Arabidopsis thaliana: one gene and its partners. The protein of the gene in region 2 interacts with the protein of the main gene of each other region in a pairwise test. Each region holds a gene or a part of one and is shown on either strand. Other genes may lie near its edges.

Evidence for each region.
Region 1: the proteins of AT1G76110 (region 2) and AT1G18610 interact in a two-hybrid assay, tested with the Arabidopsis thaliana proteins (one large-scale study listed by BioGRID).
Region 3: the proteins of AT1G76110 (region 2) and AT5G24680 interact in a two-hybrid assay, tested with the Arabidopsis thaliana proteins (one large-scale study listed by BioGRID).

The regions. Positions count from the first base shown.
Region 1 is NC_003070.9:6,404,019-6,410,402, reverse strand, and holds AT1G18610 (Galactose oxidase/kelch repeat superfamily protein), read right to left. Parts: upstream 4,797-6,384; 5' UTR 4,625-4,796; coding exon 4,444-4,624; intron 4,122-4,443; coding exon 3,972-4,121; intron 3,879-3,971; coding exon 3,711-3,878; intron 3,497-3,710; coding exon 3,344-3,496; intron 3,249-3,343; coding exon 3,096-3,248; intron 2,842-3,095; coding exon 2,677-2,841; intron 2,575-2,676; coding exon 2,434-2,574; intron 2,324-2,433; coding exon 2,137-2,323; intron 2,055-2,136; coding exon 1,808-2,054; intron 1,698-1,807; coding exon 1,572-1,697; 3' UTR 1,558-1,571; exon of another isoform or gene 1,437-1,557; 3' UTR 871-1,436; downstream 1-870. Other genes in the region: TRM3 (LONGIFOLIA protein), read right to left, coding at 187-212.
Region 2 is NC_003070.9:28,554,148-28,559,658, forward strand, and holds AT1G76110 (HMG (high mobility group) box protein with ARID/BRIGHT DNA-binding domain-containing protein), read right to left. Parts: upstream 3,469-5,511; 5' UTR 3,319-3,468; coding exon 3,140-3,318; intron 3,046-3,139; coding exon 2,967-3,045; intron 2,857-2,966; coding exon 2,694-2,856; intron 2,237-2,693; coding exon 2,138-2,236; intron 1,732-2,137; coding exon 1,349-1,731; intron 1,254-1,348; coding exon 1,140-1,253; 3' UTR 887-1,139; downstream 1-886. Other genes in the region: PETE1 (plastocyanin 1), read right to left, coding at 70-693; AT1G76120 (Pseudouridine synthase family protein), read right to left, coding at 4,666-4,990, 5,081-5,511. UniProt on the Arabidopsis thaliana protein: Binds preferentially DNA with A/T-rich content. Required for karyogamy during female gametophyte development, when the two polar nuclei fuse to form the diploid central cell nucleus.
Region 3 is NC_003076.8:8,452,045-8,456,388, reverse strand, and holds AT5G24680 (Peptidase C78, ubiquitin fold modifier-specific peptidase 1/ 2), read right to left. Parts: upstream 2,815-4,344; 5' UTR 2,724-2,814; coding exon 2,668-2,723; intron 2,558-2,667; coding exon 2,425-2,557; intron 2,329-2,424; coding exon 1,613-2,328; intron 1,510-1,612; coding exon 1,395-1,509; intron 1,320-1,394; coding exon 1,224-1,319; intron 1,115-1,223; coding exon 1,031-1,114; 3' UTR 871-1,030; downstream 1-870. Other genes in the region: AT5G24690 (plant/protein, putative (DUF3411)), read left to right, coding at 10-174, 330-606.

The DNA.
Region 1 (6,384 bases), about 22 Mb from region 2:
ACAAAGCTCAATGTGAACGCCATTTCCCATTGCTCTCCAGCTAAATTACATAGCTTAAATCCCTATCATAATGAAAAATTCGCTTTTTTCTTATACGTGGTAAATTGGGTAGAGTCTAGGCTAGCAGAAACATATGAATCTATTAAACCCTATTTTCAACACCTAGATTCTCAAATCCCCACTAACCCCAAAAGGAATAAGACAAGCTCCATTATTACAGAACAAAAGCTCTTTTGTCTGAAAACTTAATCTCCCAGAAGAAGATCACTGATCAGAGAATGTACATTCAAAACCTTAGGGAAAGAAAGAAAGCGCCAAGCAAAGAAGAAGAAGAATAAAGAACCTCTGCAAAATGTTTCCTCCTGGTTCTGCTCAGAGAACAAAACAAAAAGACAGCCACATAAGAAGGAGGAACTTGTTGGTTTGTAAATATTGTTTGTTTGTTCCAATTCCTCACTCTTAAAGACTTAAAAGCTCCAAGATTTTAGATTATCTTTAGTAAGTAATATGGATAATAAAAATAGAAATGAGAGAGATCGTTCATGAGAATTGGAGATACAGACGCATTCTCTCAAATCATGAATCCATGTGGGAAGGAAGTAGGATGTGATTACTTCTTTAGATGTCTCCCTCTGCATGTGACTTCTGTCTTCTAGTTTAGATTTTCTCCAAATTATCCTTCTTTTTATTTCTTCCCATTTTTTCTAAAATACATTGCAAGCACTATTAAATATAATGGGAAATAAAGGAGGCCATCAAAATAAATGAAAATAAGTTTTCTTCTCTATGTTTTTACATGAGCAAAAAGAAGAAAAACGAAGTAGTTGTTACATGAAATTTAGAAATTTTGTTTTCATGTAAACAGGTTGATAGAATCACATGCTATGCTAATCAACAACGAAATTAGTTGGATATGGAACTACATGCTTTAGCCTTTAGTAGTTGGATTGCCAACTAGGACTAGTTTGACTTTTCTTCTACGTTATCTCCAAAATTTATGTTTCCTACTGAATGATCGACCAAATTCTAATCTAGCTCTAGAAAGAGTAAACAAGGCTAGAGTTGAAATTGAAAACCATAACATGATAAAGGGTAAAACCAGTTTAGAAGAATCACTCCACATTCTAGAATAAACCATTTTTATCTGACATTTAAGCTAGTTCATTGTGCAAAAAAATAAAAACTATGAGGGAGGAAGCATAACATTGCTTGGAAGTTGAATTAAACCCGAAAAAAGGAGAAAATTGCAGAGAATAAGAAAAGAAGGAAAAGAAAAAACCTAACTCAGAGCTAGCTTCTCATCATCCTCACCAGTGACCACGATAATCTAACTTAGATTCTAAATAAAACCCACCCTATCTCCAGACTAATGTACAGGAAAAGAAATGATGTTGTTCATGCTGTTGTTCCTCTGTTCATAGCGGAGAATCTCTCATCTGTAAATCAAATGCTCAAAACGAACAGAGTTAGACCCAACTAGTTTTAGATGCAATGGCTTCTTCTGTTTTTGTGTAGCCTAAAGATTCGATCATAAGGACTTTAAAGACGTTAGCCCACCTTTGTTTTTGTAGCTATGACTCTCCAAGTCCGGTCTTGTTAGCCCTATCATCTATCGTAATCGCATTTCTAGATTCTAAAGACGCTTCATCAACCTGAGGAACTGATGATGGAGCTGTATTCACTGTATTCACAGTGCCCTGCACAAAGATTTTCAGTATTTTAGGGTCAAGAAATTGCATAATCGGCATTTTCAGAAACGAAATGACTAAAGACAGGTTCTTGAGGATATATGATTTTAAAAACGCACCATATCGAGTTGACTTGCATCTTGGTTCTTGGCATCAGAAGTAACAACAGAGGTTTCTGTTTCGTGTGGTGCCACTGCCACTGTGGTTATGTTAACACCCAGAGGGTTGCTGATGGTATCAATACCAGCCTCCATACCGTTTAATTGAGAATCTTTGGATTCTACAGCATTAGCTTGATCCTTGATCAAAGTTCTTGATATCTTTGATCTATTGTCCTGATCCCCGTTCGACATAGCTGGCCTCTTTCTATACAACAAATACACTTGTTCACAAAACGATGCACACAACTGAAAACCCCGGAAAGAGGAAGATTAATTTAACCACTCACCTACTAAAGCTTTGATCTGCCGGCAGAATAGAGCTGCGCTTGTTTGAAAACAAAACACCACGAAGCACTTTTCCATCTATCATTGTTTCCATAGTGTAACCAACCGGGTAACTCTCGGTTATCCGGGCTTGAAACATCATCTTTCCTTCATTAAATTGGCAAGTGTTCAAACCAAAATTTCCTCTTCCTACAATAAAATCAAGCATATACAAACTAGTGAGTTTCTGCTACAGAAAAAATGCTACCTTTGTATGTTTCAATCTAATATTGACTAGCGCAGAGTCTGCCTAAACACACCTTGATGATCCATATTGATTCTGACAAGTGATTTATCGTACAAGGAACTTGCATGACTTTGTTCTTGGCATTTTATCTTCAATTGCTTCTTTAGAGACAACATCCCTACATTTTGATCAAATCTTGCATCGTATCCAAGACCTATTAACCGGAAACAAAAATGATTAGAGTGAGAAAATCCCTGTCCAGATGTCCCTATGAATCAGATAGGCAATAGGTGAATTAAAGGGGATTTGCCGCAACCTGTCTGTAAGTAGAACATGTCATCCAACGCCTCGAGATTCTTATTGCAGCCACCAACAATGACAAGAAAACCAGCTTTGTGAGGATCTAGACAAGCCCCTGCAGAAGAGAACCTAGCAGATGGTCCTTCTCCCATGGTGAGAACCTTGGACCATATACACGTATCTACAGGTACAAACAACAACAAAACAAAAAACAATGAGAATATGCGTAATTACAAAGAAACCAATATTATGACACTAATACACTTTAGAAAGCCTTTTACAGGTTTCCTTCTCATGGAAATTGGATACAATGGTTCATCTTAAAACCTTTAACCAAGCAGATTTTGTTTGGACAAGAAATTAGGACCAAAGCCTATCTACCACATAAGTCATAAGTATTATATATGGCTATTAAATGATGATTCAGTTACATACCGACATCAAGCACATAGAGATCATCGTAAAGATTCTGAGCATCCGTAAACCCTCCAAAAACAAAAAAGTTCCTCCCAAGTGAAACAGTAACATGACCAGCTCGAGGTGTCAACAACTGCCCTGAAGTATTCAACTCTTTCCATATAAGTGTATCTGAAAGTCAAAAAAAAATAACGTACATTAACTTTCAGATAAAAGACAAACACTCGTAAAGGTTAAAAGAACATGAATTCAAGATGCTTTTTCACCTGTATCAAGGATATGAACATCGGACAGATAGTAGTCATGTCCATCTTCGCCACCTATAACAACAAGTTTGTTCTTCCACGATGAGCAAGAATGGCTATCCCGCGCAGATGGAGGATTCCCAATTGTAACAGCCCGTTTCCACACAAAAGTTTCTACACAAGCATAAAGCCGATTAACTTACTTGCATCCTCGAAAATTTAGTACAAAAGTATTTTAAAGACTCAACATTAACGCAAGAAAGGATATGGTTTCAACTTGTTTTTAAGTTAGAATCTATCTAAGGTCCCTTATCAATGAATAAAAGATGATAATATGGAAAAGATTCACATGCCAATTTGAAGAGAGCCATGAGTAACCAACCATTACCTGTATTAAATATGTAAACGTCATTGTAATAGATTTCTTCATTAATACCAGAAGATTTCCCACAGCCACCAAAGACAAACAGCCTTTTACCAACCAGTGTGGCGCTATGACCTTCTCTTGCCTCAGGTCCCTCTCCCCTAACACTCGGACATTTCCAAGTATGTGAAGCTATAACCACACAAAAAAAAATCAAACAAAGTGGGAATGACTTCTTCATATAGGGAGAACTCAAAACTTGAAATATACAAAGAGAAAGCTTACAAGTATCTAGAATATACAAATCCTTAAGAGGGTTAACTCCATCAGTACCACCAAACACAAAAAGATTGTCGCCGACTGTTGTACAGCTGTGACTGTCCCTGGGAGGAGGAGGTGTGCCATTGATCATTGGCTGAGTCCATATCTGCTTTGCTGCAACAAGGATCACCACAGTGAGAGAGCAAGTAAACCACAACGGACCAAAAGCTTCCTCAAAAGAGTCAAACCAAAATCATTAAAGGAAAAAGCTTTAAATACAAAATTGGATATAGAGAAATGGGGATGTTTCTCATACCAAAATCTGACAAACAAAAAACAAATCAGAGTGTAATTTCTTATCCTAAAGCAGACATGCAATATGGATGAACAAAGGTAGGAAACTTAGATGATTGTCTAGAATCGAAATCCGAAATGGGAATCAACCCAAATCCGCCATTTTTTGAGAACAGAGACGATGTGGAAAGAGAGAACTAACCAGCGTCGAAAACATGGACTTGATTGGTTTGGCAATTATCTCTGCCATAGCCACCGAAAACATAGAGAAAGCTACCTCCTTTAATGGCGTTACAAGTGTGACCCCACCTCTTACCGGGCCCGGAAGAAGACTCACCGAGACCCACTTGTTGCTGTAGTTGTCGGACCCTTTCCCACCTCATTTTCCGGGCGAGAATCGTTTGGGGTGAGAAAGTGCGGGAAAATGAAATGGGTTCTTTTTTGGAGGAGGAGGAGGAATGAGGAAGAAAGAAAATCAGAAATCCAAATTATATCTTATGGGCGATTACAGATGATAAAGCTGCTTCATTTCTTTTGCTTAGGTTTTTTATTCGGTTACCGGAAAAATAAATTAAAGAAGAGAACAAACAAAAAAAATTGAAAAACCTGGTGAAGAGAAAAACAAAAAAAAAAACTTTACTTTATTACGTGGCACTTTTATGACGTGTCGAGTATTTACTGGTTGTTTATAAGTCTCTTAAAATAGTGAAATGGGTCCCGAGGCTTAAGGATTTACGTTACAAGGATTTTCGTTTGTGTTTTTTTAATAACTAGATGAGTACTCATGTTACGCGTGGGTTTATTTTGAAAATTGTTAAAGTGTTGGCAAGTGCTGCTAGCGGTTCCGCAACTCTCCTTCGTTACTTTATTTAGAACTTGATTGTTCTTTATGTTAATTTATATTTACTATTTGTTTATTTTTGTATTGTTAATAAAATTAGATGCATAATTTGAAGTTACAATTTTTATGGTTAGATTCATTTGTTACTTGAAATATTAATTTATATATTTTTGTGTATAAAGCTGATTATTTATAAGATTTTAATATTTTTTTACTTCATAAATACATATAAAAACAATAATGATATTTTGATGCAATTCTGTGTAACAATGTTATTTTTGTAGTTTAAAATTTTTCTAACTTGATTATAAATAAATCAATTCCTTGTATACTTCAAAAATATTGTGATAGATTCATAATTAAAGTTTGGATTGATATCAACTGAAAAAGATCTTAAGAGTATTCGTACAAAAAAATAAAAATATAGCAAAAATTGATGTCATTGAAGTCAACACTTTTGGATCTTTTGTCATTGCATATAACAATATTAGAGAAATGATTGTGTCTTGGATGATTTGAAAATTGTTCAACTTGATTATAAATAAACTATTTATAGTTTTATTTATTCTCCAGATATAATACTCCAACAATATTGTTATAGGCTCATGATTAAATATATAGAATTGATATAAACTGAACAAGATTTCAAAAATATTCATATGAAAAGAATAAAAAGAATTCAAAAATTAAAGTATCATTAAAGTCAATACTTTTAGATCTTTTGTCATTGTATATATCACTATAAGAGAAATGATCGTGTATTACATTATTTGGTAGGTCTAATATTTTGAAGGTTTATTATTTGAAAAAATTTGAATGTCAATGTTATCAAAGACTCAAAATTAAATTACTAAACAAATAAGAGGTTAGGTAGCAAACAAGTACAACACAATAAAAAATTAGTTATGATTATTGATGATAAAAAAAATTAATAAATAAAAAGAGTATAATGAAAGTAGTACTTAATTTGTTTACATAATTTTATTTTTTATTTTTATTTTGGAGAAATCAATTAAGAGTAGGATTGATAATATATTTAATTTGTTTATTTAATTTTATTAGTTTTATTAATTTAAAAAACATCGAATGACATATGTCACTTTGTTGTGTGATGATGTGTCATTAACAATATGCAAATTATTCAAACTATTAACTAATCTATAACTACTATACACTCATAATTTGAGTTAAGATTACAGAAAAAATCTTTAAGTATGAGAAAACCAATCAAATAATTTTATTGAAAAACATGTAATAACAAATAAATTTAATATTAGTACAATTAAATATATAAAATTAAAT
Region 2 (5,511 bases):
TCTTCCAAATTAGATTTATAAATCATGAATATGTAAGCTCCTACACGAACAAGAGAATATCTAGACAATTTACTTGACGGTGAGTTTCCCAACCATACCAGCACCCTGGTGCGGCGCACAATAGAAACCGTAAGAGCCTGGCTCTGTCAAAGTAACCTCGTAAGTCTCCCCTGCACCATTTAGAAGCGCTGTCTCATCCATCGAGATCTTGCTTGCGTCCACACCACTAGGGATCTCGTCTTCGTCGAACACCACGTTATGTGGGAACCCTGCGTTGTTCTTGAACACGATCTTCTCTCCTTTAGCCACCGTGAATTCAGATGGTACGAAAGCAAGGGAACCGTCGTCGGATCCTAAAAGAACCTCCATGGCCATCGCATTTCCAGCTAAAACGATCGAAGCTGCTGTTGCCACTGCGATGACACCGAAATCCTTCAAAGAGGACTTCAAAGCGAGCTTAGGTGGCGCCCTGGTGGCGGAAGTGGATCTACTGATGGTGGATAATGTCTTAGGTTTTGAGCTGACGGCGAGCTTTAGGCCGGTGAAAGAAGGGATGGTGACGGTAGCTGATGTAATTGCGGCCATTTTCTTTACTTTTTGGGGTGTTTTGTTGATCACTTGTAAAGAAATGAAAACATTATGGGATTTTTGATAAGATTTGAAGAGAAAATAAAGCGAGAGAGTTATCTGCATGTGATTGGTTACCCTAGATGTTTTGTGAGGTGACGTGGCATTGTTTGATAGCTTTGTCTAACGTTGCATAAGTAGATAAGGAGACTTTGAACATTCCAAGTTTTCATTAGTATTTCTTGTTCTTGTGGTATTTATATTACTTAGTTACTAACCAACGAATCGAATGCTAAATTGCTAATATAACCTAAACCTCTTTTTTAACATGCAACATAAACCTCTTGTTTAACAGGAAAGGTTTACGAAAAAGGATTAATACATTAGAACATCTAAAATTCTTAAATAAATAAAGACTCTTCAAGTTTGGCAAGTCTAGCCTCTCACTGAGCCTAGTTAAGCAAGCATGGACAACTACAATAAGCTAGAAAATAAAAGAAACGGCGAGGCGTCCAATCTTAAAAGAGAGAAACGACCTACAACAAAACGACTTGCCGTTTTAACTAAATCACCTAAAAAGCCTTGCCGTTTGTCATGTCACCATCCCTAAGTCTCAACGTTTCTCTGTACTCATTCAACTCCCTCTGATACCTTTCCTTATCCTTCAATCCAATGTCTTGATAAACCTACAAGCAATAACCAAAACTCGGTTCAGTTATCGATTTACTACAAATCTAATTTCATCACTAAATCGGTAACGGTTTAAAAGATAATTTGTTACCATTCGTTCTTCGGTAGAGAGATTGCTCCACGATTCTCCGATAAGTTTCGTAAACTCTCTCTCCTTGTTGGGATAAAGTGATTTGAGCTTGCAATGTTTCTCAGCAAAGAAGAAATTGTAACCGCTCCGGTTCGGTTTCGGGTAATTCGGATCTTCTCTGCGTCTGCTTCTTCGTCTTTTACCTAAACGACGCCGTCTCCTCCCAGTTTCAACATAAGGTACAACGGCATTGTTTAGAACAGCGGTTGGAGATGATGATGGGCCGGGCTGGGCCGAATGATAAAGAACGCCGTTAAGAATCTCTGAGCCCAACTTAACTTTTACCAGATAACCACAATCGAATTTGCCTTCTATTGTACCTATGGCTGTGAAACTCGACGAACCTGTGCCATGTATTAAATATCACATGTATAATCATAAGCAAACCTAGATACATTATCTTATAAAAAATTTCTATGTGAACCAAATCTTATAGCTACTGGTCTGGTCCACGTCATCGGTTTATTATCCAACAAAATCCAAATAGATTTGCATCAAACATAATGACAGTGGGACCATTATGATTCTACACTATATTTGAAAAGTATTGCGATAAACACTAAGGTTTTTATGATAAGTACATAAAGCTAACTAGACAATTATCATACGAAATTAAACTGTGCCCCTAAATATAAGTTTCACATATACATAATCATTAACTAAGACCTTAATCATTTTTTGTCATAAAATGATGATATAAAGCATAGAACAAAGACAAGTATATACTAGATATTGATAATACGTACGAACCTTGAGAAGGAGGATGAGTATTATGATATCTTATACTCGGAGGAGTATATTCGACGAGCGCCATTTCTTTGCTCGTTGAGGGATTTGCATGAAATGTAGCTGCAAAAATTGATTATCTTATATGTAACATAAATAATCGTCGCTAAATAACTTATAGTTCCAAGACATAAACAAAATTACAATAACCATATAGATAGAAATGATGACAATAATTCGGGTATATACAATCGTTGAACTCCCACGTTTGTAGTAAGAATGTGTCCCACGATTGAACCCATGACTTCACATAATTGAAAAGTTATTCTTATTATTTTATTATAGATTCAAGCCTTTCAGACTATCGTTAATGAGTAACAACGAATTGAACTTTCTAGTCCTAGGGCATTAAAGACAATATGGGAACCATCTTATGATTCATTGATTAGCATTTATCAAACGGTTGAATTAAAGATTCTCAACAGAAACAAATCTATGATAATTGAAGAATATAATGAAATGTATACTATATATATTTAAAAGTAATCAATTGAAGAAGGTTTGAGAAAAAAAAACAAACCTATGGGATGAAGAAGAGGACCACGAGCAGTGAAGAGATGAACTTGTTCGTAATGGAAGAGAAGATTGAGATAATGTTTCCTTAAGACAAACGAAGCACTTGTTGTTGTCGCAGAGAATCTAAACACTCCTCCAACTTCCCTCCATTTTTTCTCTACGACTACCTATCAATTCAACATGCATTTTCAAAACAACACAACATATAAGAAACGATAATAAATTACCATAAAGTAAAAAAATATCTGTATTGAAAAAGAAAACAAAAAGTGTTGACCTTTTCGTAACCTCCCCTCCTCGTGACTTCCACATACAAAACATGCAAATCTAGTTCTTTTCCTCCAATCACAGGAATCCTTGTTTATATCACACAAAAATAATAAAATAAGATAGATGAAATGACGAAAACTAAATTTATTAAGTAAGAAGAAGAGAAAGAATAATGGTTACATGAACTTAGTGGACATAATTGAGTGAAACCGCCTGAGAGTATCCCAGAAGACAGAAGAATCCTTGACGACAACTTCATGTAAAGCCAATGGTTCTGGATACTCTTTAATCTTCGCCGGCGAAGTCGCCATCATTTCTACCGTCGCTTGAGACGGTGTCGATTCGTTGTCCGATGACATCGCTATAGAGAGACTTTTAGTAGAGACAGATATCTTTTTTTTGTTGGGGAGTTTTTTTTTTTTTGTCTGGTCTCTCTTTTTTGGGTTTTGGTTTAAGGAAAGAAGAGAAAGATAACGATTCAAGATAAGATTTGTGATTAAATCAGAGAGATATAGAGATAGAAAATTAAATTATTTATTTTTGCTACGGATTTAAAAGTAACGGACGTGAGGATTTGTCATTTTCTTTCTTTTTGTGAGTTTTAATACATACCACATAGATATAAGGAAATTTAAAATTTTAAACTTTATAATTGTGTATATATTTGCTTTCAAATTATTGTTTTTATTTTCGAGGCGTTTTGAGTGATGTTGCTTTGTAATTTTTCTGATACTACTAATACTGTATTAATTACTTTTTCACTGTATTAATTAAAAAGTAATTATTGCACCCCACCTACTTTAGTTTTTATGCTTACGAGCAGTCGAAATATGGTCACATCTATTTCTTTCCAACATAATCAATCATTATTTTATTTTTGAAATTTCTTAAGTCTAATTTATATGAAAACATCGATAATATCTAAAAATCGGACTGTCTTGCTTTTTTTCTTTACCGGTTTAGCATATTAGATTCTTTCACTTTTATTTTAGTGTTATATATATAGTGAGTATTCAAAAAATAAGAGCGAAAGTGAAGAATTTGTAACACGATCTATGCACTTTATACACTAATGATACTTGACAATTTTTAGGTGAGGAATTTAAAACTCGTACGATCTTTATATATCAAAGTTTTTGGGCATTGAAAAACCTCTGAAAATTAAAAATATGTCACTGTTGAGTATTGACATGCATTGGTAAGCGAAAGTTAAAGTAGTACTTATTAGTGCAGACGGAGATAGGAGTCACACCCTAAAACTCATTGGGTCAATCGAAGTCTGACATTTTATTTACCCTAAATAACAATTAAAATAGTAAAAATGACAAGAAAATTAAATAGAAAAAGTTATGGGCCTTATGCTTCGGAGAGGTTGACGTGCGATTAGGGATTTTATATATGGTTCTGCTCATATGTAACGTCACGTCCCTCTGCCTGTAGATTCGGTTCCACGTTTCTTCCTTATAATCATTTTTTACCGATTCTTATTCGATAAACATTTGTTCAAATAAGATTCTTCTCTCTTCCATAAATAAAGAAAATCTTTTATATGACGACGACGTTGGAGGATAACAAATCAATTCATTAGTGTCACCTTACAACACAAAAATATACTAATTTGATTAAAAAGTTACAAAAATGGTGGGATTAACCAACAATAACAAAAACAATGTCAAAATCTTCAAACTAAGCTTCCATCATTTTGCTTAGAGACTATGACTTGCTCTTTCATCAATTTTCTTATGAACAAGAACTTGGTCTGTGTTTTGTCCACAGCTGCCAAAGTTTAGGTCTGGATAGTTTCTATAGTTCAAGGAATGTAACCAAAGAGCCATATTTCCGTATTTTCGCTCTGTAGCGCCGATATGAGAATAGATATGCTTCAATTTGAATGCTTCAGCTTCTTCTTTGTATGCTTCCATGGACACTTCTTCATGACTGTCTTCAAAGTTTCTGTTATAAGACGTGAAGAAGCATTCGTCCAGATAAAGTCCAACTTCTGGCGCCATTGGTACAGTTATATTCACATCCCTGGTTACATAATTTCCGAACTGAGTATCAAAACAAACAAAACTATAGACATTGCAAAGCTTCAAAACCAAAGAAAAAGGAGAAGCTTACTTGCTGAAAGCACTTTGGATAAGTGATTCAGAAGCACAATTCCGCATGATTGCAACAGCAAGACCCATCATCTTCCGAATCTGATGAAGCATAAAGCTTTTGCCTAAGACTTCACACTTGATAAAGTCAATCCCATCAAGATTAATCACAGTATTAGCAGTGAAGGAGATGATTTGACGATTCGCAGTCGGATCATCTGCTTTTGTTCTTGTAGTGAAGTTATGGAAATTATATGATCCAACATAACAACTTAGTATTCTACTGAACCTTTCCTTTTCCTTTTCACCATAACAAAACTTGCTCTTTACCTTAGTCTCTGATGAATTTGTATTCAATTTACAACTGTCTTCTTGTATCCTACCTACTTCAACATCTACTGAGCATAAGCCAGCTAAATTAGAACTCAAAGCTTCAATCTTGATGTCACTTCT
Region 3 (4,344 bases), on a different chromosome or scaffold from region 2:
TTCTGACAGAGTATCTGTGACGGTCCCATCTATCAGCACAAATGCTCTTGGTTATGGTGCATTTCTTGGAATATATGCCAACTTGAGATATCAGCTGTTATGTGGATTTGAAAGAGGAGTGAGCAGTCACTTTGACGTCATAGGAGTAGCACTCTTCTTCGGCACTGCCTTGAGGTATTCTCTTTCTCCCACATATGTACATGTCATACATAAACAGGACATGTTGGCAGTTTGGATATTGTATTGTAAAACTCTGTCTTAGGACTTAGGAAACCTTTAATCTGGGGATCAAGATCGTTGATGAATATGGATGGATGTATGTGGTACAGGATTATGAATGTGCAATTAGGGGAAAAGTCAAGACAAGTATGGCTAGGTGTAGAGGCAGACCCACTGGCGCAGTCAGATGATCTGCTGGCAAAAGCATACAACCGACCCTCAGAGGAAGCAGTAGCAAAGCCATCTTCAAAATGGTTCATCTCAAAGAATGCAATTGTCTCAGGGCTACTCGGGAAGAAGCAAGAAGATTCAGTTTCAGATTCTCCACCTCCAAAGGCTCGGCGAAAAAGGATAGTGAGGAAGAAGGTGGCTGCATCTGCCTCTTAAATAACCAACAAAACCTCTAAAATGTCACAATTTTCAGAGTCCATGGAAGAACAACAGTGAGGTTTTGTTGTTCATTTGAGGCACACATGAAAAAGGTTTTGTTGCCAGAGGAAGGAAGAAGGGATCACCAAACTTGGAGGAATTGAAAAAAAGCTCTATAGCTTCTTTTTTTTTTTTTTTACTTTATGACTCGTTCTCTCTAGTTTTAAGTGCTTTTGGAAAGACATTTCTATTTTTAGGTGTGGTGATAAAGATGCTTATCTCTGGTTAAAATTCTGTATTTTCTCAATGTTTCTAATAAATAGCCACATCTTATACGTTCGTTGAAACTTGGAAAGTCATAGTAGTCTAACTCCTAGTCCTGAAAAATTGCAATTAATCTAAGAATCTTCAAGAACCATTCTTCAATTTTTGATGGAAGTCATTAGAATTCAACAAAGTGACTATCAATGGTTTTGAGCTTCTCCAACTCCTCTCCATCAGCAATTCCATTATCAACGTACAGCATCTGTATGTATATATCATCACAATATTCCCCAAATCACACTCAGACAAAATCACTTAGCTTTATGCAAAATAACAAAGAAATGATTGATATCAGAGTTCAAAGCTGAGACCTGATACTCGGGGCATTTCAGTGTGTGAGCTCCTCTTTTAAGATATCCCTCCCATCCTCTCTTCTCTATAAGCGCTATCTCTATAGCTCTAGTAAACTGCATTCACATTCAAGTCTCACAATCATTAATCACATTCAACTTTAGTAAAAGCTGATGTTCATGTATACTCACATCAGCCGGGTCCAAAATTAGGAGATTGTACTGAGGAGTAAATGTAGTTCCTTGCAACCGTCTCTGAACCCCAACAATTGTCCTCGAGTGCCCTTCATGTTGGAAATACAAGGGCCTGCAGTACACACGATAACATCAACTCAGGAACCTTAGACGTAATGTGTTTTGAAGTTACAAAAGACATTTCAGAGATCAAGAACTGAAACAAAACAACCTACCCTTTATTCGTAATATGAACACCGGATGAAACACTTAACCTGTTATCTGAGAAGTAATTCCAAACCCATTCCATTAAAACCGCTCCTTTGCTGATCCTAGAAGAATTAGAACTATGAGAGTCAACTGCTTTTCCCTTCCCACTTCCCCCCTTTTTAACCATATATCTGTCCATGGGACCATATGACTTTACCTTGGGTGCAATAGCAGAACCAGGAACTGAAAGATACATCGATTTAGACTTCTCGGGAGCAAAATCAACAATCCTCGCTTTCAACCCGAAAGAACGTAACAACGCAGCACATTCAGTAGTTCCAATCCATCTCTTGGAACCACATATTCGATTATCAAAATGAAGAGCTCCAGAAACATCAAACCCCTTGTTCCAAGCTAACTCAAGCCATCGCTGGAGCGAAGGAATATCAGGAACAAAATTAGAACCACCAAAGAGAACTCTCTTAGCTTCTTCTCTATGAGAAAGCAAATGAGAGCATTGCATTTGAATGTTCTTCCATCCACATCCCCAACCTTTATCCTCCTTCGAAGATTGAAAATGATCAACAAAGCCTGATAGTAAACTAGTACTACACTCTAAAGGTTTCGACTTCAATTTCAGTTCTGACTCCAGACAGTTCCTCAGCAAACAAATCAAACCACCATGACCTACACTATAGAATTGACTCTTAGTCTGTAACTGGACCAAGGAGGCAACGTTGTTCTGCAGAAATGAAACAATGTTTTATCAATTGGGTTTTCTTTTCTGAACCTAACACAGGAGTGGAAAGAAGATTTAAGGGTTTTAAGAAAGTATTACAGATGATGAAGCAGAGGAAGACGAAGAAGGATCATCAGAAGAATGATCATCAGAAGCGAGTTGCAGAGCCAAGTGGTGATCGGTTTCGATTTGTGGATTGATTTCATCGTCTTCGAAGTGGGAATTCACATGGCTGAGTCAAACCATCCACCATAACCAGACAAACACATCAAGACCTCGAGAGAATGCAACTAAGAAGCATATAGAAATAAGGGACACAAAGCTGAAATTAGGGATTGATACCTTTGGATTAGGGAGAGAGGAAGCGTGAGATTGCAGACAGGACACAAAGCTGACATCTTTATAACCCGGGACAAGAAAAAAGTCGCCTTTTTTTCACTCTTTCGTTTGTTTTCTCGCCGGAAGAAATCAGAAATTGACCTCCTCCGGTGATGATCAAAACGCCTGCGTTTAATTGGAGTGCTTGTGGTGCATTGATTATTTCTATTTTTTTTTGGAATTTTTAATTCTTAATGATTTTTATTTTATTTTTGTGTTAAAAGATAAATTTAAACGAGAGAAAGTAGAAAATAAAGAATCTTAATTGGCCAATAATTATGGTAAGTTTTAATGTGAGGAACTAATATTTCTCTTTTGGAAATATAAATCAGAGATGCATGTACACGTTTTACGACTCAACAAGTCACAACGTTGGTAACAAACCAATTTTTGAGAATCTCTTATAAATATCACATGTGTGTTTAGTAGGTCTCTATGTCTCAAAACACAAAATATCATAACAAACAAAAAAACAAGAATGGAGAATTCAAGCTTTGAAACACTTCCTTATGATCTACAAATGAAGATTCTGTTACCGATGCCTCTAAAAGTCTTGGCGAAATGGCTATGCGTCTCAAAGCAATGTGCATCATTTATTTGCTCCGTAGAATTCAGAGAAATTTACTTGAGTTGATCAATGAAAAAGCCTCGAGTGTTGTTCGTCACCAATGTTTTACCAATCTACCAAAACAAACCCGAAACGTTGTTTCATTCTGTTTGTCAAGAGGAGGAAGCATTGTTCTTGTCTTCCGGTCAACAAGAGATGTGTACCAACGAAACACCACTTTGAAATGTTTCTAAACCCATCCAAGGTTTGATTTGCCTTCAAGATACTGAGGTTGCGATTTAATTTGCAACCTGGCTACGCGAACGTTACGGAAATTACCGCAGATCGAAAGGTCTAACGGAGCATGCATGAAAAGTTTTTTCGGATACTACAAAGCTAAAAAAAGTAATCAAGTTGATATGTATAAGTTTAACTAATAATAACAAATATCATGTATGCACGGTCATGTAATCTAAGAAAGTAACCAAGGTGCGTACCAACGACGCACCACTTTGGAAAGTTTCATGTGTTCTTTAGTCGAAGGATTGATCAAGTAAATGTGCCTAAAATCGTCATGGATCTGAATCAAGACCAATCCATCACAAGATCCCAATACTTGAATGGTTTTATTTTGACATTTGTCGATTGGATCATCAGGAAAAGTGTAGTAACAAGAAGAAGAATGACAGTTTTTTCCGTTGTTATGGTCATCTCTAGAAAAAGTCTCCAAAAGAAAAGTTATTGAGTTGAATCTTCTTCAACAAAATTCGCTGAAAAGTGTTGACTAACATGAAGATATTTCATATTAGGGGTTGGTAAACCTGTACGAACGAGTCATTTGTGGGAAAAGTAGGTTGATTTGATCATTGATCTCCATTTTTTTACAAGACTTTGAATCTAGCTAGTGATTTTATTGGAAGATATTGAAATATCTCTTCAACTATATCCTCTGATATAATCATTGTCGTAGGATTATTTTTTATGCATTGAAAAAATTGTCTTAGAATTATTATGTTTGTCACCCTCCATTCTTTTCGTACGATGATAATTCTTAGTTTAGATTTTTATATCAATATATAAAGAAATTAATGATC